Linked DNA regions of Pelodiscus sinensis. The protein of the gene in region 1 interacts with the protein of each later gene in a pairwise test. Links are inferred from orthologs where the notes say so. Each region holds a gene or a part of one and is shown in the gene's direction. Other genes may lie near its edges. The genes, in order: PRR22 and NELFA.

Region 1 (15,444 bases):
ATCCTCTGTCAGCCAATCCCAGCTTCTGGCAAGCATAGAGTTAGGAACACTTACGGCAAAGGTTTGCACCCCTGACCGTCTTGGCTAATCACCATTGCTGGACCTGTCCTTCGGGAACTGGGCTAATTCCTTTTTGAACCCTGTTATGGTCTTGACTTTCACAACATCCTCTGGCGAGGAGTTCCACAGGCTGATTGTGGGTTGTGTGAAGAAACACTTCCTTTTGTTTGTTTTAAACCTGCCGCCTATTCATTCCATTTGGTGACACCGGTTCTTATGTTAAGAGGCGTAAACAACACTCAATTACTCGAGGAATAGTCATCTGGCAAAGCGGGCTCAGGCCCACGAAAGCTTATGCCCAAATAAATGTGTTAGTTTTCCAGGTGACACACGACTCCTTGTTGTTTTTACTGAACCAGACTAACACGGCTACCCTCTGAAATATCACTGTTCAGTATCTCCACACCAGTTGTAATTTTATAGACCTCTATCATATCCCTCCTCATAGCCCCTCCCTTCAAGTCTTTTTAATCTCTCGCCATATGGGCCTGTTCCAACTCTCTCGTCATTTCTGTTGCCCATCTCTGTACCTTTTCCAATTCTAACTGTAATCCCTGCGGCCAAGCCCACCCTCCCTCCTCCCCAAATTGGCCACGAGTCTCCCTTTTCAGAGCTTCCTTCCAAACCACCCATATGCCTTGGGATGCTTCTTGGCACAATGGGCTGATCCCCCATCGGAACATGTCTACCCAGACCTCCAGATGCAGGGAGTGAATCCTCTCTTTCGGGGGAGCTCAGAGCTTTCATGTCAGCAGGAAGAGGGGAAACTGCTCAGAAGACCCTGCCACGTCTGCAGGAGCCGCACAGAATACCTGGGCACGACCTGTCCCTCCTGGATGGGGTGGGGAGGAGATGAACAGTGGTGCTTTGCCCCAGCAGCTGCTTATGTCTTTACTGTAATGCATGCTGCCCACGGCCCTTTTGTTTGTAGCCTGCGGTGCAATTTGGGTTTGTAGCCTGCGGTGCAATTTGGGTTTGTAGCCTGCGGTGCAATTTGGGTTTGTAGCCTGCGGTGCAATTTGGGTTTACAATTGGCCTGCGGTGCTCAACACACATCCCACGGGTGGGAGCCAAAACCAAAACATAGTCAATACAATGGTCTTCTGGTGATATGCATTTTAGTAGTTAAATTCCTGGACTGTCATTGCTCATTAAAAGTGCTGTCATATGGGTGGAAATCAGGTTGATGTTGCATTTTATTAATATCAGCAGAACTGACTTAAATGGGGCCTGTGTGTTGTGTCGTCTTGCCTTAATCTTTGTATTCATGCCCGTCAGTGTGAAAGAAGCTATTTGCATATATATTTGCATATATATGCAACCACACTTAAGATGCAGCCCTCGGCATGTGCTATGAGTATCATTGTGGACCCCGGGGCTTCCAAAGTTGAGTAACCTCGTCTAATGTAATACTATGGTTCCCAAAAAGATGAGCTACTCTTGCAGGAAAGCCAAACCAATTCTACCGCCACCCTGCAGCATCAAAGGCCAACCCATGGCTTAGCTCCTCATAACTTGATCCTTTCTATGGGTTCGACAAGGCTTTGGTGAGTAATGACACAGAATTGTCACTTCAAGTCCAGGTCGAACCTCTCCCGTCCAACACCCCCGGGAGCAGACGGGTCCCAAACCAGAGAATTGGCCAGACCAGAGGATGCAAAGGCCAACTCCCCTGATGCTGATGGCTGTGGAGCCCTGCTCCAGCAGCTGCAGAGGGGCTGGCATTGATAGATCAAGGACCCGAGGAAAGGGACCAGGCACCTGTGGAGCCCCACGACTAGGGGCCAGGAGAAAAGCCCAGTCCTCCAACCTCCACTGTCCCTGAGGTTGAACGCCGCAAATCAGCCATTTGCAGCTCTCTGGAAGCCCTGGGAGGCTATTCATGAATGCCAGGCTGCAGATGTTGCCGGACAAGGGAGGTCTGGGTTATAGCCACGCCACCTGTATTATGATTGGCATCTAAGTTAGCATCTACTGAAATGAAGGGGGCAAGTCACCCGGGGAGACTCCGCGAGGTCAGGCAGATGTCACGCCCGCGGTGAGACTCAGGTCAGGTTGTAAAGGGGTTTCCTTTGCAGCCACAACAGCGCGACGCTCCCTTTTCACAAAGGAGAAAATGAAAGCTGACACTCGGAAGAACGACTGAGAGATCCACCTCCGGCAAGTCCGTGATGGTCCTGAAGGGGCCGCCCCTCACCCTTTGGGAAACATGTGAGTAAGAGGTGGCCTTGTAGGGCCGTATTCGCCTCACACCAACCCCCTGCTTGGGATGTTGATTGCGAGCGTTGCCCACACAAGAGTCCACTGGTAGGCCCCACCGCCTGCCTCACACCAGTCGGGGGTGCTCCCTCCTCTGATGCCCCACCTCGCCTCTGACGCTCTCCTTCAGGTGGGCTGGGGACCTTCCTCCTGCCCATCCTCACCCCTCTGGCGTCACAGGGGCAGTGGTGGTCTCAGCGCCCCACACGCCTGTATGGGTCCTTATAAGCCTGGGGAGGCTTCGGAGCCGAGTGAGAAAGCGGGAGGCCTGTGAACGAGTCAGACTGTGTGAAGAAAGAAAAGGGGGGGGTATGTGGCTCCCAACAGAGTAGTCAGGCTCTGGGGGCCTCTCCCCACATCCAAGCAACTCTCTGCTCCAGGAGGGCCTGGCTGTGCCGCCTCTCTTCCCACCTCAGGGGGGCAGGGGTGGCATCAGCGGAGACCCGGCAGCCCCTTCCTTCCCCCGGGCGGGCGGTGGAGGGCTGGAGAGGAGGAAGAGGAACCTCAGCAAGGCACGGAGGAAGGAGCCCCGGCCCAGCAATGGGCGCCCTTCCTCTCCAGCCTGTCTGGCCTTCGGAGAAGGAGCAGCAGGCCGGGGAGGAGGAGCAGCTGGGGAGGCCCTAGGGGCCTACTGGCCCACTCTGTCTATGGAGCCAGAGTCCTGGGGCTCCAGCAGCCGGGAACCATCCCCCACCGCCTGCAGCAATGGCCTGGGCCCTCCAAGCCCAGGTTCTTAACCCGAGCGAGCCGAACCACAAATGGGAGCCGGGCCCAGGTGCCAGGCCTGTCAGGGTCTCCTCCAGCGAGAGACCCAAAGGGGACTGGGGAAGAGCCCACGGCAGTCACTCGCGGGGGAAGGAGAAAGGAGGAGAAGCAGCCACTATCTCAGCAGGAGGCACGGCAGATGCTGAGCAGAGCCCAGCCCGTGTGGGAAATCTGTGGCAGAGACTGCGGGACACTGAGGGCACCTTCCCTGAGAGGTCTAGAGGGGAGTCTCTCCCCCTCCTAGGCAGCAGGAAGAACTGCCAAACGTGTGAGTGCCATGCGGGATGTGAGCCACTTCGCAGCTCTCTGTGGGTTACTCTGCACTGCAGTGGGACAGAACTCAGGCCTTCCTGCTCTACAACAGCCAAAGGAGAATCACGGTTAGCAGTACGGGGCTTATGACACACAGCCAAGCAGTTCCCATCCCATCCAACTGAGAGCAGGGCTATTCAAGGCCATCCGAGCACATGGCGGGCACTTAATGAAACCTCCCCACCACGCTTACGAGGAAGGTAAACAGAATTCCCCCATTTACAGAGGTACAAACTCATCCACCGTGTGGTCAATTTAACTCTTGACAACAGCGGGGGTTAGTGGCCATTTTGAAACAGGACCTTTTTTGTGGCGTTCTCCACAACGGCCCTTTTTCTTCAGTCTCTGTTGGAGGAGAAGCTTTCATCATGAAGAACAGTAACACATCACCGCTAATGCTAAACGTTACTTCCAAAATCTACTCGCTGCACTAGATTCACTTATCTGCCAATTTTTGAGCGAATAGACAATAACAGAGCTGAGGTCATGTGGGACAAAGGAAGCTACTAAATTCCCTAAAAGGGCCCATTTAAAAGTTATTTTAAACTCACACTAATTAAGTGGTTTATTTGTAAATGTGTTTGGTACTCAGAGTAAGTACTGCACCCTCCTTGAGGATATCGGGTGCTTTTCATACAAAGCAGATGAAGCTTGGCTTTAAATGCAAAATTCAACACAGCTGTAACCATAGCATCATGACTGGCCATGTCCCAAATAATCACATGCAAGAGGATCATCTTAATAGTCCAACGTATTGTAAATTTGGTGTTATTCGCAAAGTGGAGTGAAGTTGCAGGTATGATTTTAAGAAATTATTTTGCAAAATTGCCTGCTCTTATTTCACCTAACTCTACATACCCAATGTTTCATTTTCGCAGGAGGACATTTGCAGAAATAGTCAATTTGGAAACAAACAGACGAAATTGCAAATTTTGTGTTCCTTTCTTTTTTTTTTTTTTTGCAGGGCAATTGATATCACTCTGGGTATGTCTACACTACCCTCCTAGTTCGAACTAGGAGGGTAATGTAGGCATACCGCACTTGCAAATGAAGCCCGGGATTTGAATTTCCCGGGCTTCATTTGCATAAGCGGGGAGCCGCCATTTTTAAAACCCCGCTGGTTCGAACCCCATGCAGCGCGGCTACACGGGGCACGAACTAGGTAGTTCGAACTAGGCTTCCTAGTTCGAACTACCGTTACTCCTCGTGAAATGAAGGAGTTTTAAAAATGGCAGCTCCCTGCTTATGCAAATGAAGTCCGGGAAATTCAAATCCCAGGCTTCATTTGCAAGTGCGGTATGCCTACATTACCCCGCTAGTTCGAACTAGTGGGGTAGTGTAGACATACCCTCAAAGATTTCATTTTACTTTGGAAATTTCACATAAAATGAATAAAACCCACAAATTTAAAATTCATCATGACATGCAAAAAAAATCAATTTCCGCACTTCCCTATCTCTGGGCCTCAATTTCTCCATCTGTAAAATGGGGTGAAGACTTTAAACTCCTTTATGAAAGACTTTGCGATCTTGACAAATGAAGTACAAGAAAAGACATATATAATAACAATTAATACCAACTGCCTGAACTGTAAAACCTACATCCCAATGTGTATTTAAGGAATTATTTTAAATGTCTCTTATGTTTTTGAAAACATCCATAAAGGTGGCAAATAGAAGCTATAGATCTATCCTTAACATGGAAACATGCAAAAACCTTATGCAGTGTTTAAGTCGGTTAGCAAGACGAATTTGTGTGAGGACACAGTGCCACCCCCTGGCGCCAGTTGTGTGTTAAACTCTGCTGCTCAATTCAAGAGTAGGAGAACATCTGCGCTTTGGCTGACAATACTGAATCATCCCATTGGTATGACGGAGTTAAGTGGCTAAACTCCTAGTCTGGGTCCATTTGTGACCAGATGTAAATGTTGGATACTTTTACTTGTGAGAATTTTTTTTTTAATTTCCATCCCTTCAAGCTGTGAATCCCTGAATTTGCTAGCGACCATGCTTCTTGCTCGGGAGCGATGGGCAGATTTTATTCCCCCACTTCATGTCTTTTTTTTTAGCTAATGTCCAGATAAAGACTTTGATTTTCCAAACCTCTTCTCCCAATCGGAAATTTCCTTGGATTTGCCCACATTGGAGCAACCATTATTCTCTGAATATACAGGTTGAACCTCTCTGGTCCGGCACTCTCAGGACCTAACAGGTGCTGGACCAGAGAATTTTCCGAACCTCGGGACGTCAGTATTGTCTAGCAGCATGACCAACACTTCCACTGCTTGCTGCTCTCTTAGAACACATTGAGGGGTGCGACGTAGTGGGGGTACCTTGCTGGGGCTGTGGGCGACCTCTGCTGTCTGTAGCGCGACCCAGCAGGGCAGGGGGTGAGTCATTATGCAAAGGGGGCTCCAAACCTGTCTGACCAGCTACCCCCCAGGGAGAGAAACAAAGGAAGGTGGAATGCCGCCCTGGCTGGGGGACAGGGCTGGAAGAGAGTTAGTTAGTTTCTGTCTGGGGAGCAGGGGAGAAGGAGCAGGGGAGGGGGGCTGGGATTGTAGGGACCAGCCACCCCCCATCTCAAGGGGGGGCACTGAGGCCTCTTAGCCCCAGTTCCTGTAACCAGATGACATCTGTGCTGTATCCTGGAGAAGCAATAAACTCCCTCTATCCTACTGGCTGGTGGAGTCTGTTCGTGCCATTTCGGGGGTGCAGGAGACGGGAAAACCCCAAGGCGTCGTCACAAGGGGTAAATGAGCACTAAATCACAGCACAGAACACTAAGAGCTAGGGCTGGTGGCTATAAACAAACTTTATGGGACCACGGAAAACTTAGCCACACCCATAATAAGTGGTCATCTGGCTATCTAAAATTACGCCGGACCACGGATGTTGCCGGACCAGAGAGTGCTGGACTAGAGAGGTTCAACCTACAATTTCAAATTCTCCTTCTATGCCGAAGTCTCCTCTTACCTGGCCATGCAGGCCCCTATCTCCCAGCCTTGCAAGGACTAGGGTTGCCAGATGGTCTCCCAAAAAATACCGAACACGCGGGCTAAATATTTGTCGAGCAAATGTGTCCAGTATTTTCTGATTTTTTTTTACCGGACAGAGAGTGCAAATACCGAACTGTCCGGTACCGGACACCTGGCAACCCTAGCAAGGACCCTTCCCATCAGTCGCTGTTCAGTTCTGCCCACAGCATGAGCAGAGCCCTTGTGATGGCCTAGAAGATGCTGGCGTGAGCTGGGTCTCCTGGAGGGCCTGGGAGGCGGGGAAGCTCCTAGCCCAACACAGCAGAGCAACCAGTCAGCACTTGAGGGGTCTGATTATCTGGCCACTCGCACCAGTGCAACTCCATAGACCCCAGCGAGGGCACCGGAGTCAGCGAACGGAGAACCAGGCAGTAGCAGAGCCCAGAAGTTTGGTGTCCCCGCCCTGCCCTCTTCCCTCGGCTGATGCTCTGAGGGAAGAGCCAGGACAATTTTGCTCTCACTGCCCACTTCGCAGAGGGGCCTCCACCAGGAAGGACGTTCCTGCTTGATGCCTGGGGCAACACAAAGGAGCTGAGATGACATCTACGGAGCATCTGTTCAGAAGCGGCCTGGGAAGCCCCTTTTGGGCTCTGCTCCTTCCCTGAGCCCCAAATCTTTCAGCATGGCCCCCAGGGAGTGGGGCCAGCAGCAGCAGATTTCCACCTCTTAGGATCTGATAACAGAACCAAATTCAGATCCTGACTAATGCCAGAAGTAAAGACGGGATCACGTTAACCGCGTAAGTCAGCCCTCTTGATCTGACCATAGAACCCTAGAACTGGAAGAGACCTCAGAAGGTCATCGAGTCCAGCCCCCTGCTCTAGGCAGGACCAATCCCAACTAAATCAACCCGGCCAGGGCTTTGTCAAGCCGAGACTTAAACACCTCTAGGGATGGAGACTCCACTACTTCCCTAGGGAACCCATCCCGTGCTTCACCGCCCTCCTAGGGAAATAGTTTTTCCTAACATCCAACCTGGACCTCGCCCACCGCAACAGGCTCCTATGGATGTGAACACACACAAAAAAACCCTTAAAAACTGTACCCCAGGGGCTTCCTTCTTACAGCCTTTTGGGAGTTCCTGGCATGGTTCAGTCTTATGGTTCATTTAGGCTTAGGGGGGTTAGGTGCCTATTTTAGGAGTAAAAAAATCAATTTTGCTAAGTGTTTAAAAATGTTCCCCCTTGAAGTCCTGTGCCCCCACAATTGCACCCCCAATGTGTGGTGGGGCAGAAACAGATCTACAAGGGTTACTCTCCCACCCCTAGAGATGAACTCTCGGAGCACCTGAGGGATCATTAGTACCCATCAGCCTCTTTGGTGCCCTGCATCCCCCCACCCCCGGGAACGTTCCATGGGGAAATGCAGGCTTGTACCGGAGCTTGTGCCGGAGCCAGCTGAGCGAGAGCTAGAGAGAAGGCGTGTGGGAGTCGCACGTGCCATTCGCTGAGCCTGCAAGAGGACCTGGAGCAGATCCGTGCCTGACAAACTAGCTAAACGATTCAATGAAGAAGCAATTGTTGTTTATTGTACGCTGAGCTGCAAGGGAGAGCGCTTTGCACCCACCCCATTAAAGATAAGGCACCATCGCATTGCAACACCACTCAACTCCCCTACAACACCCCTCTCCCCAGACAAGGCCACCCCAGGATCAAACTTTTACGGTCTGTTTTGTTTTTTAAACGTCCTGCCCTAAAACTCAGACAGCCCTTACCTTTGGCGTCACCTATCCCAGCACTTTTAGGGGACTTAGAACCTCATTTGTTACCTGGAATTCTTTGCTGAGTAACCATCAAAACAGAACTTCTCAGCCTTGGCAACACTGGAGCTAATTCTCCTAGATACATGTCACGAGCAGTCCCGTACCTGACTGTCCTTTAAACTGACACAGCAACTATGCAGCAACCAAAACTGTTCTACCAGCAACATGATGCCTATGGGCCCAGACCCTTAGATCAAGCCGAGAGCCAGCCAGCCAGGCCACTTCAAACATTTGTCCTTCCAGATAACCCTGCATCAGTCGGTAAGATAAATAGTTCTCTGTTCTGCTGTCTATTCCTCTTTTAAACTCTCCCTCCCATCCCCTGATTTATCAGTTCTGGGTATTCACCTCAAAAAAGATATTTTGGCCTTGGAAAGGGTTCAGAAAAAGGCAACTAAAATGATGAGGGGTTTGGAACGGGTCCCATATGAAAAGAGGCTAAAGCGACTTGGACTTTTCAGTTTAGAAAAAAGGATACTTAGGGGGGATAGGATAGAGTATATAAAATCGTGAGTGGTGTGGAGAGGGTGAATAAAGAAAAGTTATACATTAGTTCCCATAATATAAGGACTAGAGGACACCAAATGAAATGAATGGGTAGCAGGTTTAAAACTAACAAGAGAAAGTTCTTCTTCACACAGCGCATAGTCAACCTGTGGAACTCCTTGCCAGAGGAGGCTGTGAAGGTTAGAACTATAACAGAGTCTAAAGAGAAGCTAGATAAATTCATGGAGGTTAGGTCCATAAAAGGCTATTAGCCAGGGGGTAGGAATGGTGTCCTTGGCCTCTGTTAGTCAGAGGCTGGAGATAGAAGGCACGAGACAAATTGCTTGATCATTGTTGTCGGTCCACCCCCTCCGGGGCACCTGTGCTGGCCACTGTCAGACAGGCTACTGGGCTAGATGGACCTTTGGTCTGACCCAGTACTGCTGTTCTTATGTTCTTATGTATTTTCTTCAGGAAATATACCGCTGGGTTCTCTCCTACTCCTTTCCATTTTCTCCCAGGTTTCCTTCATCCTCTGAAGTTAATAATTCAGACCCTTTCAAAATGTCCATCAAATTAAGCATCATTTCATACTGGAGACGCTGAGACTTTTCTGTGTTCGTATTTCAGGACCGTCCAACCTGTACCATCCCCCAAGTCAAGAGAAAGATGTTTTCACAGTACCCCCTGCAGGTATGCTTAGGACACAAGATGTAGAGACCAATAAGAATTAAGGGCAGGTCTACACAACAGATGAACGTTGGCTTAAAAGACGCAATTCCAGCCACGTAAATAACACCACCAGAATCCTTAAGCCGAGTTTCGGCGCCGTCCCCACAGCAGGAGGTCAACAGGAGAAATGCTCCCTCCCGTCGACTTCCTTTATTCCTCATGACTGCAAGGAGGATCGCGATCAACAGGGGTGCCCTGTCTTTACTAGACCCGCTAAATCAAATGCCAGAAGATCAACCACTGCAGCACAGATCTCTGCAGCAGTGAAGATAAGCCCTCAGGCAGTGGTTCCCAACCTGGGGTCAGTGGACCCCTGGGGGTCTGTGATGGTACTAGGGATGTTATGTATCGATTAATTTACTAGTCGAATAGTCGATGGAATTTCCATCAACTATTCGACTAGTCGATAAGAAGGGCGCTTAGAGCACCCCCTTTCAGCTCAGGGCACAACTCCCGGCTGCTGCTCTGCATTCTTAAAGGGACAGAGAGGAGTCGTCGTGCAAAGACGAGTTTGTCCCTTTACAATGCAGAGTGGCAGCAGTGGAGGGGGTAGGAGGGCTCTTGTACTGAAGCAGAGAAGCAGGACCAGCGGCTGCCGCTTAAAAATGCAGAGTGGCAGCGTGAGGGTTGTCTGAGAGCCAGCGGGGGACCAGAGAATGAGCCGGTGTCTCTGCACGCCAGCTCCTCTCCGTCCCTTTAAGAGTGGGGAGGATGACTGAATAGTCGATAGTGCTACTCCTTCACATCCCTAGATGGTACTGTAGCGGGTCCACAGAAAGTTGAGGAAAGGAAAGGAAAGGAAAAGTAAGGATCAGGCCTACTATGGGACTAGGACTTTTTAGAGCGACAAGAATGATTAAAGGTTTAGAGAACATGACCTATGAAGCCAGGCTTCATGAACTGGGCTTGTTTAGTTTGGAAAAAAGAAGATTAAGGGGGGACATGATAGCGGTTTTCAAATATCTAAAAGGGTGTCACAAGGAGGAAGGCGAAAATTTGTTCCTCTTGGTTTCTGAGGACAGGACAAGGAGTAATGGGCTTAAAGTGCAGCAGGGGAGGTTTAGATTGGACATTAGGAAAAAATTCCTAACTGTCAGGGTGGTCAAATATTGGAATAAATTGCCAAGGGAGGTGGTGGAATCTCCCTCTCTGGAGATATTTAAGAACAGGTTAGATAGACATCTGTCAGGGATGGTGTAGACGGAGCTTGATCCTGCCTTGAGGGCGGGGGGCTGGACTCGATGACCTCTCGAGGTCCCTTCCAGTCCTATTATTCTATGATTCTATGATTATTCTATGATTCTATCAGGTGACTCTCACCCGGGGCTCACTGTTTGTGACCAACCGCACGCCGATGCCTCCCGCCCTTGGGATGGGATCTTGATACCCCAGGAGGCACCATCTATGCTCCCGCCGCCAGCTATGCCGCAATTTACGCTCCAGCCCTCTCGCTCCTTGCTTTTCTCTTTTCATAGAAACAGAGCTGGAAGAGACCTCAGAAGGCCATCAAGTCCAGCCCCCTGCTCTAGGCAGGACCAGTCCCAACTAAATCAACCCAGCCAGGGCTTTGTCAAGCCGAGACTTAAACACCTCTAGGGATGGAGACTCCACTACTTCCCTAGGGAACCCATCCCAGCGCTTCACCACCCTCCTAGGGAAATAGTTTTTCCTAATATCCAACCTGGACCTCTCCCACCACAACTTGAGCCCATTGCTCCTCGTTCTGCCATCCCTCACCACTGTGAGCAGCCTCTCTCCATCCTCTTGGGAACCTCCCTTCAGGAAGTTGAAGGCTGCTCTCAAATCCCCCCTCACTCTTCTGTTCTGCAGACTAAACAGACCCAACTCCCTCAGCCTCTCCTCATAAGTCATATGCTCCAGCCCCCTAATCATTTTGGTTGCCCTCCGCTGGACCCTCTCCAATGCATCCACATCCTTTCTGTAGTGGGGGGCCCAGAACTGGACACAATGCTCCAGATGTGGCCTCACCAGAGCCGAATAAAGGGGAAGAATGACATCTCTGGGTCTGCTGGCAATGCTCCTCTTAATGCAACCTAGTATGCCATTAGCAATCTTGGCTACAAGGGCATCCTGTTGACTCATATCCAGCTTCTCATCCACTGTAAATCCCAGGTCCTTTTCTGCAGAACTGCTACTTAGCTGGCTGGTCCCCAGCATGTAACAATGCTTGGGATTCTTCCGTCCCAAGTGCAGGACTCTGTACTTGTCCTTGTTGAACCTCATCAGATTCCTTGTGGCCCAATCCTGCAATTTGTCTAAGTCACTCTGGACCCTACCTCTGCCCTCAAGCATATCTACCTCTCCCCCAGCTTAGTGTCATCCGCAAACTTGCTGGGGGTGCAATCCATCCCCTCATCCAGGTCATTAATAAAGATATTGAACAAAACCGGTCCTAGAACCGAACCTTGGGGCACTCCGCTAGAAACCGACCGCCATCCTGACATTGAGCTGATGATCACTACCCGCTGGGCCCGGCCTTCTAGCCATCTTACTGTCCATTTATCCAATCCACATTCCCTTAACTTGCTGGCAAGAATATTGTGGGAGACCGTATCAAAAGCCTTGCTAAAATCAAGGTATATCACATCCACTGACTTTCCCACGTCCACGGAGCCATCCTCATCATAGAAGCTAATCAGATGGGTCAGGCACGACTTGCCCTTTGTGAATCCATGCTGACTATTCCTAATCACTTTCCTCTCTTCCAAGTGCCTCAAAATGGATGCCTTAAGGATCCCTTCCATGATTTTTCCAGAAACCGAGGTAAGACTGACCGGCCTATAGTTTCTTGGATTGTCCTTCTTCCCTTTTTAGAAGATGGGCACTACATTTGCCTTTTTCCAGTCATCCGGGATTTCTCCAGACCTCCACGACTTTTCAAAGATAATGGCCAAAGGCTCCTCAATGACATTTGCCAAATCCCTCAGTACCCTCAGATGCATTAAGTCCAGACCCATGGATTTGTGTACGTTTAGCTTTTCTAAATAGTTCCTAACCTGTTCTGTACCCACCACGGGCTGTCCATCTTCATCCCATCTTGCGTCACTGTGAGCATTAGTCCGGGAGCCAACCTTATCCGTGAATACAGAGGCAAAGAAAGCATTGAGTACTTCAGCTTTCCCCACATCATCTGTCACTACGTTACCTCCTTCATCTTTTCTTTTCTTTCCCCTCCCCCACGGCTCTGTGCCCAGCCAAGCGCAGTGCTGGGTCAGGAGCCACCTTTGGCCACGAGAGCCCCCTTGGCGTGTCCTCCGTGGATGGGCAGGGGATGGAGGGGGTGGGAGCTGAGGAAGCAGCACAGGCCAAGGGACGTGCTGGCCCCCGCTTCCCACCGTTCCCCTTGCCGGGGGGTTCGTAAAATTGTACCAGACAGAAAAGGGGGCCATATGCTCGAAAAGGTTGGGAACCCTAAGGGCACGTCTGCACTTACTGGGAAGTTTGAATTAAGACACGCCACTCCAGTGACGTTAATGGCGAAGCCGGAGTGGACAGACCTTAATTCCATTGTGTGCAACGAGCGGGCCTTGCCAATCGAGGCTTATCTGGGCCGACGGGGGCACCCACCGCGTTCAGTTTAGCGGGTATTTACTAGGCCCACTGAATCGAATGCCGCAGCATTGATCTTCATGCTCGTATGGACGTGGCCTAAGGGTGGAATTTTCCTAAGAGCTGGGCACCGTCCGGGTACTCTACTCACAGCGGGGCGCCTCCTTGTGGCCACCGAGGATGAGCTCTGCCAGTCTGATGCCTCTTCCTGCAGATGCTCACTCCAGCGTTCCCCCCCAGCCTGCCCCCTCCTCTCTGGGCTGCAGCCCGGGGACCGTACCCCCCCAGCTCAGGGCTGCACAGCCTCACACCTTGCTGCTGTTTCCCTGGGCAGCTTCCTAGAGTGTTTCTATAAGACTCTGTCTCCCCCATCCTCCGGACTCGTCCTTCCCTCCAGGCCTAGCTCCCGTCTCTCCCTCACCTCAGGGAGAATGACTGCAACTCTCCTCCCTGCGGCCCCATTCTGCCTTCAGCCGTGCACACACCCCAGCCTCATTGCTCCCTGGCTCCTGCCGCAGGTGCAGCCTAGGCACTTAACTGGCCCCTCTAGCCACCTCATCCCCTTCAGGGGCTGGTGGTGCGCAGCCTGTCGCAGGCACCTAACTCCCTTGCAAATCTCATCTGTTACAGACAACAAAGGGTGCAAAGCATCCTGTGAGAAGGTCTGCTTTCCCTTACGCTCTCCTGTTGGCCTCATTTTGCATGCACACATACACTCATGCACACACATATGCACATACTCATGCATGCACACGTGCACACTTATTCACGCATACACACGTGCACACATGCACACTCATGCACAAATGCACACACTTGTACATATGCACGTGCATGCACGCACACTCTTGCATGCACACATGCTTACACATACACATTCATGCATACACGCACATGCACACACTCATGCATACACTCACAGGCACACAAGTGCTCACTCATCTATGCACACACTCATGCATGCACACATACACAGCCATGCTGACACTCACCATGTGAATGGTAAATCATTGCAAGTTACACTGTGGATTGGTTAACACTTGTAAGTTAGGTTGTGTGTCAGGGTGGCAGTGTTCCTTCATCTATGAAAATACCCCTTCCACCACTGTAGGTTGTGTCTACACAGATAGAGATACAGATATGACAATCTAGCTATGCCCATGTCATCTTCCTAGCACAGACACACCCCGTGCTGGCCAGCCATGTCTGCACTGTGCTCCGCCCACAGCGAACATGTAACTTACACCACAGTAGGCTCCCTGCTGACCTTGGCCCAGCGATTCCATGAGAATTGCGCCTGGACTCCAGACTTGTGTTTGCCCCAAGCCCCAGATCAGTGCAAGTTTTTCCACATGCACCAGTTCCTGACCAGACGTGTACTCCACGTGCAACTCGCACGCCTAGAACCAGCTCCTTCATGCCAGACCCTCAGTGCTGACACTGACACAGCCCACACGAAGTCATCAGAGCTACGCACCGATTTACACCCGCTGAGGATCTGGCCCTGTAGTGGCTCTTGGCTGGGGGTGAGTCACACGCTCCCAGAGGACGTCTTTGCTTGTGGGCTCTGGGGTCCCCACTCACGACCATTTTCCTCTCTGTTGCCCAGGTTTCCAGATGGCGCCCTGTGGGTGCTTCTTTGATCCCCGGATTTACCGCATAGAATGGGCAACCACCAGTTTTGTGCAGCCGTCGGTTTATAAACTCACCGGTGGATCAACGTCGCCAAACACGTATCTTCTGGACCCCCCGAGATACCTCAAGAGTCCTATCCAGACAGTTCCCTACCCGCCTTACCCCCACATCCCCAGCAACCTCCAATACATCATGCCTTATTTCAAGCAGGAGAGCCCTGCCAGTGGGACAGAGCAAGTGAATTTGGTCCCCAACCCACTCCACGACTCTCCCTTTATTGAGATGCCTCAGCCCCAAGAAGAAAGGCTGGTTGAGAACAATGACAACAAACTGCCCCAGCTCCTTATAACGCTGCCTGCACTCTGCCAGAGCGAGCAGGCCCTCCAGATGAGCAACTACAGCCATCTTAAGGGCAGGCTAAGTCCTCACGGCCCCGGATTCCAAGGGTTTGATGGCTTCCGGGTGGAAGGGGGAGACCTCAAAGAAAATCATGTCAGCCAGCCCCTTCCAGTCAATACCCAGCTCCCAGACATTTGCACTGCAGACCAAACCCCTCTCTCTAGTCCCCGTGTTGCAAACACACAGGCGACGGCGGAGGCAGCGACACGCCCTTGGCAAGACAACGTCCGAGCGGAAGGCAGCAAAGGGCCGGACACAGAGGAGCCCTTCGAGCTGCCGGAGAAGGTTCTGCTGGAAGATGCAATGAAGCTCTTCGATTGCTCTCCAGCCAACTCGGACACAGAGGTCGCCAGAGACGCCCTCGGCACCCCGCCAACATCCAGCGAGAGCAAAAGCAAAGATGACGGCTTCCCGGGCGAAGACTCCC
Region 2 (15,040 bases), on another chromosome or scaffold:
GCTGAGGTTAGTTCAGCTGCTTCTGAGAACAAACGTAGGGGAAAACACGTTGTATTGTTTGTTAGAAAAAAATCATACAACCATTTTGTAGCAATGCTCTTGTGCCTCCATGCTTTGGAGAAGGGAATTCACATTTGGCCTTTGTATCAAGGATCAGAGCCATCCCATTCATAGGATGGTTCAGGGCAGAGTTGTTGACTCGAGTCCCACGACTTGAACTCAAGTCCGACTTAAGTCGCCTAGGTGACTCGACTTGAGACTCGACTCAGGTTCATTGTTTGTGACATGAGACTCGACTTGAGACTTGCTAATTTTGTTAAATCGACTTGGTGAAAAAATTGTCCGAAAATGCCGATATTGATGGCTGTACAAAAGTGACTTGACATTTTTTAAATTAAGACTTGAGACTTAACTCGAAAGTGACTTTAGGGACTCAAGACTCAACGTGAGACTTGAACTGTAGTGACTTGAGACTCGACTTGGACTTGACAATGATGATTTGAAGACAACACTGGTCCAGGGCAACCATCCCAGGCCCCACGCTTTGGGGTGGAGGGGCCTGTAGCAGCCACCTCAACAATCCTAAGGACGGGATCTGCAGGGTGCAAAGTGGCCTGGGAGATTACCTGGGTGGCCTGGCAGGGGGAGGCAGCAGGATCAGGCCACCTGCATTCACTATAGTAGCAGGAGCAGCAGCCAGCAACCTGCTCCACTCTGTCACCATCTCCCAGCCTGCTGCATTCCGCTTTACCATGACAGTAGGAAGCAGAGTGCTCTGGGACTGGGGTCAAGGTGCTGCGCTTCCTATTGCCACAATGAAGTGGAGTGCAACAGGCTGGGAGATGACGGTGGAGTGGAACAGTTTGCTGGGTGGTCTGGCTCCTGCTGATGTGGTAGAAAGGGCTGATCCCTGCTGCTGCCCCACACCAGGCTCCCTGTGTGATCGACCGGGCCAGGTCTGTGCACTGCTGAGGGTGTCAGCTCAGGACGAATTGCTCAAAACCAGGGCTGCTTAAAGCCCTCGACTGGAGACCTTTCCCAAAATAGGCCACAATCCAGTCACACAAAGCATTTCAGCTGCCAATCCGGCCAGCAGGAAGCCACACAAGCAAAACCCCTCAGACACCCCAGCTCTCCCTGTGCTACAATCAGCCCCGGGCCTTACGCACAGGTGAGAGGTTATAAAACCCGATCTCACCAACTCCAAACAGATCCTCCCTGTCCTAAAGAACCAGCCACAGTTCCCAGTCAATTTACACTTTAGATCCGTGGTCACCAACAGGTCGATCGTGAGCTACTGGCTGATCTCGAGGCCTCGACCAGTCGCTCGCAAGGCATCCTGTCCGCCCCGCCCCCATTTCCCTCCCACCCCCCAGAAGCCCTACTTACCTCAAGAAAAAACGGAGGTAGTGTCAGCTTCAGAAGTCCCGCAGCTTAGCGCCACTTCTGGCAATTCCAGAAGTGTGCTAGCTGCTCTGCCGGGTGTACTGCGGGAGGAAGCATCAGCTCCCTGCACCGCACAGGAGGGGGAGTCAGCCACGCGGGAGGCGCGCAGGGGGTTTTCTGGCACGTGCGCAGTTGGGGGGGTTGGCCCCGGGGCAGACGTTTGCGCGGGGCTTCCCTGCGCGGGATCGGCCCCGGGGCAGGCACACGCTGGTTTCCCGGGGGGGGGGGAGGGAGAGAATGCTGGGAGGAGGGAGATGCAGGGGACTCTCTGCCTCCACTGGCACCACACTCCCCAGCCCCCACTTCCCAGCCACAGAACGCTGTCCCAACTCCCCTGTCCCCAGCTATAGAATGCTGTCCCCAGCTATAGAATGCTGTCCTCACTCCCATCCCCACTCCCCTGTCCCCAGCTACAGAATGCTGTCCTCACTCCCCTGGCCTTAGCCACAGAACTCAGTCCCCATTTCTGTCCCCACTCCCCGAACTCTGTCCCCACTCCCCTGTCTCCAGCTACAGAACTTTGTCCCTATTCCCGTCCCACTTCCCAAACTCTGTCTCCACTGGCACCCTGTCCCCAGCTGCAGAAACCTGTCTCCACTGGCACACTGTCCCCTGCTGCAGAACCCTGTCCTCTGCCCTCCCAGCACTCTCTTCCCTCTCCCCTGCCCCCAGCCGCAGTACTGTCCCCACAAAATGTATAATTATAAATGCTTCATTTTAGATTTAAATAGCATGAATAAAAAACAGACAATTTATTTCATAACTATAAACACGTGATTTTAATTGTATGTATCGTATAATTTAAAAATAAACTGTTTATCAGAGTGTGTAAGTAAGGGCTGGGGATAGCAAGTGATGGACAGGAGGAGAATAGAGGGCGGGGCTTAAAGGAAGGGGCGAGGTTTCAAGGAAGGGGCGGGGCAGTAGATCTTCGCCTGTTCTGAGATTTAAAAAGTGATCTTGGGTGTAAAAAAGGTTGGAGACCACTGCTTTAGATCTTACCCACAAGAGCATGCTGAGCCAGTCCTTTAGAATCTAAAATCTAAAGGTTTATTAAAAAAAGAAATAAAAGGTTGAGAGCAAGATTGTTAAGGAGAATACATTACATACATCAATTACCAAGTTCTTGATGCAGGTTCTGAGCAGAGATGTTACAAACTGCTAGCTTAGAAGTCTCTGGTGTACATCCTGTATTAGGATGGGTCAGCAATCCTTCCCAGCTCTCTGTCCCTAGCAAGGCTGCATCTGGAAGCAGAAGCAAGATTGAAGACAAAATGGAGATAGATTCATGGCACTTTTATATCCCTGATGTCTCCCAAATGGGAGCTGGTCACATGATCCAGTGACCTGTCTGTGTTTCACATGCCAGCAGCCATGAGGTACTGGCCGGTCTGCATGTTTCCAGACGCATTCCTCAGGTGTATATTGGCCACTCAGAGCCATTGTCCATGCAGCAGTGCTAGTTAGAATAGGCATTCATTGAACAATGCTTCCTCACAATAGGCAGTCCAGGCCCATTGCTCTCTCCCAGATGGAGAACATTTACAGCTACACGCGGCACAGACTAGCTAGTTCGGATTAGGCTTCCTAATCCGAACTAGCTGTACACCTCGTTCCTCGTTTGTAGGAAGCCTAATCCGAACTAGCTAGTCCGTGCCGCGTGTAGCCGCACGGCACGGGGTTCGACCTAGCCGGCATTTAAAAATGGCGCCAGCCGGCTTTATGCAAATGAAGCCCGGGAAATTCAAATCCCGGGCTTCATTTGCAACTCCGTATGACTATATTACCCCCCCCTAGTTCGAACTGGGGGGGGGAGTGTAGACATACCCTTACATCCTTACTGAGGCCCAGCACCTGTAGTACTGGGTATGTTGCCCTGTGTCCCCCTAAGGATGGCCCTGTCAAGGATGGTCTCATGAGAAACTCTGGTTTCTAAGGCTTATAGCTTGGCCAATCTCATCTAACACATTATCAGCAGACTTGTTAAAATGTTGGCAGCTAAATTCTCTGAAGAATCTGTCAGTACTGGACCTGCTCCATCTCTTCACAGCTTCTGTATGCCAAAATAACTTTGCATATACTATCCCCACAAAGCAACTAAGCATACACCATCTTGAGTACAGGGGCTGAGAAAGACTTCCTTTGCAACTGATGCTCCCAGTTTCTTCAAGTCACTATAGTGCTGAAAGCAGGGAGACTCTCCTGTACCTTCTAATACATTAGTTCCTCCTACTCTGGGTAACTGTAATCCAGAAAGGAAAATAACCACATGAGAGGGTAGATTGGAACACAGATCCCAGGACCAGACTAGAACTGGGAGTTAAGGGAGGAGAAAGGGACAGAAGAGACAGGCTTTCAGCAGGGTTTTGAAGACAGAATAAGGGCAGAAGAGTTTATGACCACTTGAGAATACACCCTTCCAGAACCTTAAATAGAACCAAAGATGAATCACAAACTAAATGAGTTAACAATGTAATAGTGTTGCAAAAAAGTAAACAATCTTGGATGTATAAGCAGGAGTACTGAATACAAAGCATGTTAATTAATTATACCGTATTACTCAGCGCTAATGAGGCCTCAGCTGGAATACTGTGCCCTACACTTCAGGAAAGATGTGGACAAATAGGAGAAAGTCCAGAGGAGAGCAACGAAAATGATTAGGTCATAATTTTTAGGTCTTTATCTGGAAAGATTGAAAAAATTGGGTTTGTTTAGTCTGCGGAAGAGACAACTAGAGAGGTACATAATAATGTGATAAACTGTTCTCCTTAACCATTGCATAAAGGATAAGTAGTAATGGTCTTACACTTCAGAGATTTAAATTAAACAAACAAACAAAAAAAAACCAACCCTTACTATGTGGATAGTTAAGCATTAGAACAAATTACCTGGAGACATTGTGGAATCTCTGTCATTTAAGGTTTTTAGAACATGTCACAAAAACATCTGTCAGGGATGGTCTAGATAATACTTACTTCTAATTTAGTGCAAAGGACTGAACTAGTTGATCTATTGTGGCCCCTTCCAAACCAATATTTCTCATACCTGAAGCCTGCTATTCCTCTGCTATAAGCAAACATCTGTAAAACCCACTGGCAAATTGTGTGTCTCAGACTCATCCAGTGGCCAGTCAGCCTACAGAATGATAACTTACAACCACTACTAGTTAGCGGAAATGTCAGAGGTCTTGTGCTATAGAGGTAAAGGTTCCAACTTTGCTGATGACTCATACTAGTGTCTAAAAGTTTCCACATAATGGATTTTTTTCCACTTTGTTGTTTTACAAACTTAAGAAATTTCAAAACATGTTGTGTGCAGTGTTGTTATAACTGTGTTTGTCCCAGGATATGAGCATTCTCTGGATGAGGGGATAGATTGCACCCTCAGTAAGTTCGCAGATGACACTAAGCTAGGGGGAGAGGTAGATATGCTGGAGGGCAGGAGTAGGGTCCAGAATGACCTGGACAGATTAGAGGATTGAGCCAAAAGAAATCTAATGAGGTTCATCAAGGACAAGTGTAGAGTCCTGCACTTGGGACAGAAGAATCCCAAGCATTGTTACAAGCTGGGGACCAAATGGCTAAGTAGCAGTTCTGCAGAAAAGGACTTGGGGATTACAGTGGATGAGAAGCTGGATATGAGTCAATGGTGTGCCCTTGTAGCCAAGAGGGCTAATAGCATATTAGGGTGCATTAGGAGGAGCATTACCAGCAGATCCAGAGAAGTGATTATTCCCCTTTATTCAGCTCTGGTGAGGCCACATCTGGAGTAGTGTGTCCAGTTCTGGGTCCCCCACTATAGAAAGGATGTGGATGCATTGGAGAGGGTCCAGCAGAGGGCAATCAAAATGATTAGGGGGCTGAAGCACATGACCTATGAGGAGAAACTGAGGGATTTGGGTTTGTTTAGTCTGCAGGAGAGAAGAGTGAGGGGGGATTTGATAACAGCCTTCAACTTATAAATAAAATAAATTTTTAAATTAATGGAGATTGCCTATCTCCTAGAACTGGAAGGGACCTTGAAGGTCATTGAGTCCAGCCCCTTGCCTTCACAGCAGGACCAAGTACCATCCCTGACAAACTTTTGCCCCAAATCCCTAAAATGGCCTCCACAAGGATTGAACTCACAACCCTGGGTTTAGCAGACCAATGCTCAAACCACTGAGCTATCCCTCCCCCCCTTTGGAATTTCCTGAAGGGAGGTTCCAAAGAGGATGGAGAAAGGCTGTTCTCAGCAGAGACAGGTGGCAGAACAAGGAGCAATGGTCTCAAGTTACAGTGGGAAGGGTCTAGGTTGGATATTAGGAAAAACTATTTCACTCGGAGGGTGGTGAAGCACTGTAATGGGTTACCTAGGGAGGTGGTGGAATCTCCACCCTGAGAGGATTTTAAGTCTCGGCTTGATAAAACCCTGGCTGGGTTGATTTAGTTGGGATTGGTCCCGCCTTGAGCAGGGGGCTTGACTTGATGACCTCCTGAGGTCTCTTCCAGCTCTATGATTCTATGAGCAACAGAAGGTAGGTAATCTCTTTTATTGAACCAACTTCTGTTGGTGAGAGAGACAAGTTTTTGACCTGTACAATGATCAGAAGAATTCTGTGAATGGCCATCAGAACTTTCTTGCGCAAGAGCGTCCATGCAGTGTCGACACTCTTCTGTGCAAAAGCACATTGCTTTTGCGATGAGCTTTTGGGGTGTGGACGTGCTTTTGCATAAGAAGTTTTTATGGAAGATCTCTTCTGCAAAAAGCTTTTTGCACAAAAACCCTGCAGTGTAGACTAAGTCTTAGAGAAAAAGTTAGAAGTGACATCTCCTGCCACCAAATAACCTCTTTGTGTTTGGCTCTGTTCTCAGGCAAAAGGTGATGATTTCCTGATTTCTTCCTGATTTCCATAGCTGAGTTTCAGGACAGGTCTTGTAATCTCCCTTCTTAAATGCCTGATCCTTCACTGTAAAAAATAAACAAGAAAGGGGATGAGGGTTAATTTTACTTGAATGAAAGGAGAAACTCTTATGCTGCCTTCTTGATAGCTAAAAACACTACCGTACTCTTAATTAGGAAGCTCTGCCAAAGGATAACCCACAGCAGCCATAAGATATGTGATTGGGTTTGTAGAAGTTCAGATCCTGGAGGGAGGTGGTATAATCTTGCTTTCTCTCTCCCTCTCCAGCCAAAACAGATCAACCATTTCCAAAAAAATGAGTTGTTTTGCCCATGTTAAATTCTGGGTACCTTTTCTCTGAAAGACTCTGGCACCTTCATGCTCTGTTGACATGAGTTTTAGTAGTTACATTCCTGGACAGTCATTGCTCATTAAAAGTACTGTCATATGGGTGGAAATCAGGTAAATATTGCATTTTACTAATATCAACAATGTAGATAAATCTATGTATTATTTCATATGACTTGGCATTGTGCCTCTCCATATAACCTTGTAATTTTGTATTAGAACCTGAATCCATATAACCTTTTAACTTTGTATTAGAACCCTATATAGAAAACTTGTAGAAAACTGAGTATATAGTTAAAGTGGTAAAAATGTCTTTTGCTAGGAGTAGAATAAGATCTTCCCCCCACTCTGTAATCAATTGCCCTGTTGAATGAATGAGGTGAGAATGAGTAAGACTTGAGAGCCAAGCACCTCCAGACAGCTACAGCAGTTGAAGAGGGGGTGGAAGCCCGGCTTCACCCCTCCCCCATCTAACTCACCTGGCCAGTGAAGTTAAGGGGAGCAACTACTTGGTAACAACAGCAAGACGGAGTGTGCTTGTGTGTGTGTGTGCATGAGTGATAGATAGATAGATATGTCATATGCATATGATAAGTATTGATTATTCTATGGCTGCGTCTAGACTGGAAAAACTTGCCAGCTGTCTACACTGGCCGCTTGAATTTCCACAAGAGCACTGACTTCCTACTGTTTGAAATCAGTGCTTCCTGTGGAAATACTATGCTGCTCCTGTTCGGGCAAAAGTCCTTTTGCGCAAAAGGGCCAGTGTAGACAGCTCAGATTTGTTTTGCGCAAAAGGCCCCGATCGCAAAAATGGTGATTGGGGCTTTTTTTTGCACAAAAGCGCGTCTAGATTGGCACGAACGCTTTTCCGCAAAAAGTGCTATCAGCTCAGTTCCCACAGCAAAGCCAGACTGTGAACTCTGCAACTATCTGGTAGTAAAGAATGAGCATGTTTAAAACAAAAACAAAAACAAAAAAAGCCTTAAGCATGCCAAGTTTACCAAGTTCATTCTGTCTCTATGCATCCCCAGAAAGGTTCCCCCATTTTGTTTATTGATATACTAAAATATGCATTTGAAGCTGTATTTATAAAGGTCCTTAATCTAAGCATGTGCTTATCATTACACAGGTGCAAGAAGCTGAGACCCCTTTGTTGCACAGGAAGTTAGGCTTGTGTGTGTACACTTGTATGAAAAGGGCCTGTTTCCCAGTTTCTCCTGTTTATGCACGGAGATTACTTCCTCCTCTTACCAGACACCCCCTACTAAAATCTTTGGGGAGATGATGAAAAAGGGCTTCAACTTCGCTTATGTCAAAGCAGAGCATTGCAAGTAGATTTCATCACCTGTCAATTGGGTAGCAGGCTGGGTGTGTTGTTTGGAAAGGAAGATGAGAGGGGGGGAAACAGAGGACCAAAGGAGAAGAGAGTTGCCCAGCTGCCAGCGGTGGGTACAGATAAGAGTCCCGTGCTGGAGTCGGATCAGTTGTTTTGAATACAAATTTCTATTTTTTCCGGCCAGCTCTACCAAGCCGCCACCGAGTCAGAAAGGGTCGGAGCCGTCCAGCGGGCACAGCCTAGCCAGGCTGCGGAGCAGGGGCGCGCGCAGACCAGCTGTGCAGCGGGGAGGCAGGTGTGGGGCTGGAAGCGGGAGGACGGAGCAGAGGGGCGGGGGCGAGGTGACAGTGTGGGGAGGGAGAAGGGCTGAGGGAACGGGCGCAGGCTGCAGCCCCGTCCCTTGGAGAAGCGCTGGGGGACGCCAGCAGAGGGCGGGGAAGCCAACCTGCGAGGCTTCCCGCGACATGGGGAACGCCATGTTGCAGTACGGAAGGGAGGCTCCATTTCGCACTACGGAAGGCGTTGCTCCCGAGCTCGCTGTTCCTCTCCCACAGGGCGCCGCCATTTTAGATTACGGAACTCCCTGCGCCCCATGGCGAAGCCTCTCCGCGAGGGAGCCGCCATTTTGGGTTACGAGCGAAACGGCGGCCCACAGGGGTCCTCGCCCTCCCTTCGTATAGGTGTCTTCATAAAATGCCTGCTAAAAATCCCCCCTTTTTTCGCCCCGCTCCCAAGATGGCGTCGATGCGGGAGAGCGACACTGGCCTGTGGCTGCACAACAAGCTGGGCTCCACGGACGAGCTGTGGGCGCCGCCGAGCATCGCCTCGCTGCTCACGGCCTCGGTGATCGACAACATCCGCCTCTGCTTCCACGGCCTCTCCTCGGCCGTCAAGCTCAAACTGCTGCTGGGGATGCTGCACCTGCCCCGCCGGGCGGTGGATGAGGTGAGAGCCGGGCAGGGGCTGCGCGGGCACCGGGCGAGGCGGGAGCGGCTCCAGCGCGCGAGTCCTGCCGCGGGCTGGGGGGGGGGGGGGGGCAGGGTAGGGCTGCGAGAGCGAGTGAGGTGCCCGGGGCCAGTTGCCCCAGCAAGCGGCGGCTGGGTGAGGGCGGCAAACGCCCCCGTGTGGTGGCGGCGGCGGTACCCGCCCCCTCCCCGTTAAATGGCGTCGGAGGAGCCGCCCGCCGGACACACCCCCGGGTGGGGGAGGGTATCGGTAACGGCCCGCCGGACACACCCCCGGTGGGGGAAGGTATCGGTAACGGCCCGCCGGACACACCCCCCCGGGTGGGGGAGGGTATCGGTAACGGCCCGCCGGACACACCCCCGGTGGGGGAAGGTATCGGTAACGGCCCGCCGGACACACCCCCCGGCTGGGGGAGGGTATCGGTAACGGCCCGCCGGACACACCCCCCGGCTGGGGGAGGGTATCGGTAACGGCCCGCCGGACACACCCCCGGGTGGGGGAGGGTATCGGTAACGGCCCGCCGGACACACCCCCGGGTGGGGGAGGGTATCGGTAACGGCCCGCCGGACACACCCCCCGGTGGGGGAGGGTATCGGTAACGGCCCGCCGGACACACACCCCCCCCCCCCGGTGGGGGAGGGTATCGGTAACGGCCCGCCGGACACCCCCCCCCCGGTGGGGGAGGGTATCGGTAACGGCCCGCCGGACACCCCCCCCCCCCGGTGGGGGAGGGTATCGGTAACGGCCCGCCGGACACCCCCCCCCCCGGTGGGGGAGGGTATCGGTAACGGCCCGCCGGACACCCCCCCCCCCCCGGTGGGGGAGGGTATCGGTAACGGCCCGCCGGACACCCCCCCCCCCCCGGTGGGGGAGGGTATCGGTAACGGCCCGCCGGACACCCCCCCCCCCCGGGTGGGGGAGGGTATCGGTAACGGCCCGCCGGACACCCCCCCCGGGTGGGGGAGGGTATCGGTAACGGCCCGCCGGACACACCCCCCGGGTGGGGGAGGGTATCGGTAACGGCCCGCCGGACACACCCCCGGGTGGGGGAGGGTATCGGTAACGGCCCGCCGGACACACCCCCGGGTGGGGGAGGGTATCGGTAACGGCCCGCCGGACACACCCCCCGGGTGGGGGAGGGTATCGGTAACGGCCCGCCGGACACACCCCCCGGGTGGGGGAGGGTATCGGTAACGGCCCGCCGGACACCCCCCCCCCCCCGGTGGGGGAGGGTATCGGTAACGGCCCGCCGGACACCCCCCCCCCGGTGGGGGAGGGTATCGGTAACGGCCCGCCGGACACCCCCCCCCCGGTGGGGGAAGGTATCGGTAACGGCCCGCCGGACACCCCCCCCCCGGTGGGGGAGGGTATCGGTAACGGCCCGCCGGACACCCCCCCCCGGGTGGGGGAGGGTATCGGTAACGGCCCGCCGGACACCCCCCCCCCCGGGTGGGGGAGGGTATCGGTAACGGCCCGCCGGACACCCCCCCCCCGGTGGGGGAGGGTATCGGTAACGGCCCGCCGGACACCCCCCCCCCGGTGGGGGAGGGTATCGGTAACGGCCCGCCGGACACCCCCCCCGGTGGGGGAGGGTATCGGTAACGGCCTGCCGGACACACCCCCGGGTGGGGGAGGGTATCGGTAACGGCCCGCCGGACACACCCTCCGGGTGGGGGAGGGTATCGGTAACGGCCCGCCGGACACACCCGCGCGGAGCGGGGGGGGGGGCGTGTCAGTATTGCCCCCCCCCCCGGGTGCTCCTTGGGGGCGCTGCACTCAGTCCTGCCCGCCTGGTGGCAGAGGGGTGCTCAGCACTGCACCCGCAGCCGCTTTTGCCCCCTGGGGGTTACGTTCGGTACCTACTCGCCCCCCAGCCAGTTACCTATACTGTGCCTGGTGCCCCTTCTCCACCTCCCCTGGCAGGGGGCCCTCAGGCACCCTGGCGCGCAGCTGGGGCAAAAGCCAACAGGGCACTATTGAAAGAGCTGGCAGGGTCCCGGGCTGTGGTAAGACAGTACCTGTAAGAAACGTTGTTACTTTTACCGCTGCCCGTAGGATACATAGCTGCCGACCCCTGAGCGGCCAGCCCATGGTGGGATAGCCTGCCCCCCATGTGTCTTAGAGGAGAGAGTGCTAGCTGTGCGTTCATAGGGCCTGGGCACTTCTGGCCTGATGGGTGACCTTGGCGGAGTGTGCCTCTCACCTCGCTTTGCCCATCTGTAAAATGAGTATATTGGTACTGTCCTCCTTTGTATAGTGTTTTGATTAAAGTGTTACCTAAGGACTAGGCATTGTTATTCCTGTGACTCAAGTGTGGCGCTCCTGTGAGTGCTGTGCTCTTTTTCAAAAGGTTCCACCGTTGCCTTCTTGTCTGAAACAGAGAGGGGAGAGAGGAACAGGACAGATTATTTTTCGTATTTAGGCTGATGAGTTTCACCATGTACAACAGCTAGTGCTTTTGACTGCCTTTTTGGGGATTATGTCTCTGGGCCAGCAGTACTTGTGCTTGGAACTAGGCCAGAGAAACAAATTATAGAGGGCAGTGGTTTTCAATCTGTAGTCCGCAGATTGTCTGAATTTTCCAAAGGTGTCTGCGCCTCCATTTGAATTTTTGTAGGAGTCTGCAAATGGGGGAAAAACCACTGATATAGATGTTAGGCCATGCCAAATTTCCTTCACCTCTCTTCCCTCAAGCTGCCATCAGTACAGGAACTGAGTCTAAGGCAAGAGTGGGCAAGATACATTCTGCCCACTCTCCCTGCCACTCTACAGGCCAGTCAAGATCAGAGTTGGGGAATACACAAAGTCATTTGCTGTTCAAAGCGGCTGGCTGCTCCCTTCCCTCACCAAGGGCACACAATGCCTAAAGGGAGCCACCAGCTGTTTTGAACAGTGAATGACTTCATGCATTCTCTTGCCCCGGGTCGGAATTGGCCTGGGGGTGGTGAGTGCGCAAAGTCTCCTTCCCCCTCCAGGGGCGTGCGGGCCTAGAGGAAGCTGACGGCTGTTTAAAATAGCTGGTGGTTCCCTGGGTGTTGCGTGCCCCTGGCAAGGCAGGGGGACAAGAGACTTCATGCGGGAAGCGGGAAGTGCACGAATTTTCCTCCCCCCACTAGGAATGCACGACACCTCTAGGGAACCGCCTCTTTCAGCAGAGGCCTTGCCCTTTCCGGGGGACCTGGAGCCAGTCTGCAGCCACTACCACATTTTTTTAATTGTCCCCTTTGCAAAAATTATTGCCCAACTGCTGATCTAAGGCCTAGTTTACACCTAAAATTTAGGTCACCTATCAACATTGTTCAGGGCTGTGAAAAATTCACACCTTTCAGAGGCATAGTTAAGATGATCTAAGCCCCTTATAGACACCAGCTGGGCTGTGTCTACACTGCATCCTTTTTCCGGAAAAGGGATGCAGATGAGACAAGTCGGAATTGCAAATGCAGCGGGGATTTAAATTTTCCCCGCTGCATTTGCATGAACATGGCTGCCGCTTTTTTCCGGCTCAGGGCTTTGCCGGAAAAAAGCGCAAGTCTAGACAGGGATCTTTCGGAAAATAAAGCCTTTTCCGAAAGGTCCCGTATTCCTGATTTTAAGAGGAATAAGGGACCTTTCGGAAAAGGCTTTATTTTCCGAAAGATCCCGTCTAGACTGGCGCTTTGTTCCAGCAAAGCCCCGAGCCGGAAAAAAGCGGCAGCCATGTTCATGCAAATGCAGCGGGGAAAATTTAAATCCCCGCTGCATTTGCAATTCCGACTTGTCTCATCTGCATCCCTTTTCCGGAAAAGGGGTGCAGTGTAGACACAGCCTAAGAGTCTTAGCCTAGGGAGGACAGCAGCAAGTGCTCACACTTGAGAGGGGAAGAGCAGGGATCTCTCTGGCTATGTCTAGACAGCAGGTCTATTTCAGGATACTGGAAGTATCCTGAAATAGCATTTCTTCATCTTTAAACACACCCATTATTTCGAGATATATTTCAAAATAACAGGCACACTATTCCGGAATCTCTGTAACTCTCATTCCACAAGGATTAAGGGATTTGTTGGAATAGCACTTTATTTTGAAATTTAATTTCAAAATGAGCTGTTTTGAAATCTCAAAATAAGCTACACAATTTGCATAGTGCAAATTGCGTAGCTTAGTTTGAGGTAAGGGTGCTGTGTTGACGCACCCTATGGAGGGGTAGGAGAACGATGTTGAAGCTCAAATGGCTAAGGGCTAGGAAATCAGAGTTGGCATGGCTAACTGGTGTAGGAGGATGTTAACTAAGTAGGCTGTTTTGAAGTGGTGTTGAGTTGGAAATCAGGAAGCGGCTGATATATGGGGGAATAGTTTAACAATGGAAGGTCATTCTGGAGCATACATTTCCACAACTTAAGTCTTGAGGAATCTCTACTCTATTTCATTCCCCACATTGTTCTGTTTCCTGACAATACCAATTCAGATAATGTGCTGGTTCATCTTGATTCTCCTTTTCGTTCAATAGATATGTGTGCTCTTTGCAAGAGACTCATGTTTATGGGTACCACTGTCAGTATATGTTTGTTGCTGAGTTGTGACAGTAGAATTCTAAACAGGGTGTGGGGAAACTGTAAATACAGCAAAAGCCCCTTTTTTCTGGCACTTAACCAACCAGCATGCTTAATTAACCGTCATTTCTGATCTGTACACAGTCTGGTTTATAGTAGGGATGTCAATGAGGAGTCAACTATATGATTACCTGATAAGCCTAGGCTTATTGATTAATCTTGTCAAGTATACACATTTCCCCCCCCCCACCTTGCTGCCTCTGTATCAGAGGCAGCAAGTGGGATGGGGAGCAGGAGCCAGCTTAAAAGCCTGTTCCCCCAGCACTGGCTCCGCAGTGCCTCCCACCCCCTCTCCTCGATACAGAGGCAGCAGCACAGGGTAGCAGGGACCTCCCCAGGAGTGGGGCTACAGTGCAATCTGCCAATCGACAAACTGTCGAATTGTCGTGTAACTGATAAGAATTAATGTATTTACACAACTATTCAGTTATCCAATATCTAACATCCCTGGTTTATAGTGCAGTCGATTTGGGGCCTGGCAGCCGGCTGGGATGTGGGAGGGGCTTAAGATGTCAGACGGGGGCGGGGCAGGGTGCTCACCTACAGCAGCCTCCACAAGTGGCTCCCTGTTCTTACTTTGCTGGCAGAGTCATGGCCAGGTGGCTGTTCAGGTACACTGCCTCCATCCCCCCTTGTAGGGAGCTGACTCTGTGCCTTCTGGCCCATGAGCCGGGAACCACGGCCAATGGAATCTCCAGGGGGCACCGCCTCTGCAGATGGTGGCAGCGTACCTGTTTGCAGCAGAGCAATCTGGCTGCGCCGTCAGGAGGAGCATGGATGGGGAGCTCCTTGCGGAAGCCACTAGAGGGGAGCACTCACTCCCCCATCTGGCACCCTGAGCCCCTCCCAGCCCCCAGCTGAACCCAAGCCCACTCGCAGAGCCTGTGTCCCATACCTTCCGTACACTAACCCCCCCCTTAGTTAACCGATATTGTTAATTTACTGGTACCTTTCCTCCCACATGCTGGATAAAAGGGCTTTTATTGTAACATGCATTAGTGCACGCTGCAACCTTGAGTATTGACAACCAAATGTCCTAGAAGAAGTGTATGCACAAGCATTGTGTTTTGACCAATCCGTTTCAGGGTACTGTGACTCAGCATGACTCCTGTAGGTTTTTCTGTGTAGTCATTCATTCTATTATGTGGTGTTGCAGTCTGTGTTAAAAAGATACTTACTTAGTATATCTGCTTCCTGTGTAACTTTGAGACATAGTCTAACTCCTTGCTAAGTGTCTGTCCCAGCTCTAGGGTCTTTCTTTTAGTATAATTGAATTTGTAATGTAATACAAACACAATAAAATAGCCTTCCCAAAACCAGAAAATAGGAATAGCTCACTCCAGCCATATATGATCCCTCCATATCAAGACCCCAGCCCTCATTGCATGAGAGTTGGCATAAAAGCACCAGTAAGCTTAAGTTTAAAAAAGGGGGGGGGAGGCGGTTGGGAGGTAGGATTTCTTATGTGACCTG

Evidence for each region.
Region 2: the proteins of PRR22 (region 1) and NELFA interact in a two-hybrid assay, tested with the Homo sapiens proteins (2 studies listed by BioGRID). The two-hybrid records come from large-scale screens. The link is inferred for Pelodiscus sinensis from reciprocal best matches to the Homo sapiens genes PRR22 and NELFA.

The regions. Positions count from the first base shown.
Region 1 is NC_134729.1:21,431,802-21,447,245, reverse strand, and holds the start of PRR22 (proline-rich protein 22), read left to right. Parts: upstream 1-8,257; 5' UTR 8,258-8,329; coding exon 8,330-8,456; intron 8,457-9,311; coding exon 9,312-9,374; intron 9,375-12,143; coding exon 12,144-12,197; intron 12,198-14,592; coding exon 14,593-15,444.
Region 2 is NC_134715.1:118,482,223-118,497,262, forward strand, and holds the start of NELFA (negative elongation factor A), read left to right. Parts: upstream 1-8,564; 5' UTR 8,565-8,708; coding exon 8,709-8,960; intron 8,961-15,040. UniProt on the Homo sapiens protein: Essential component of the NELF complex, a complex that negatively regulates the elongation of transcription by RNA polymerase II.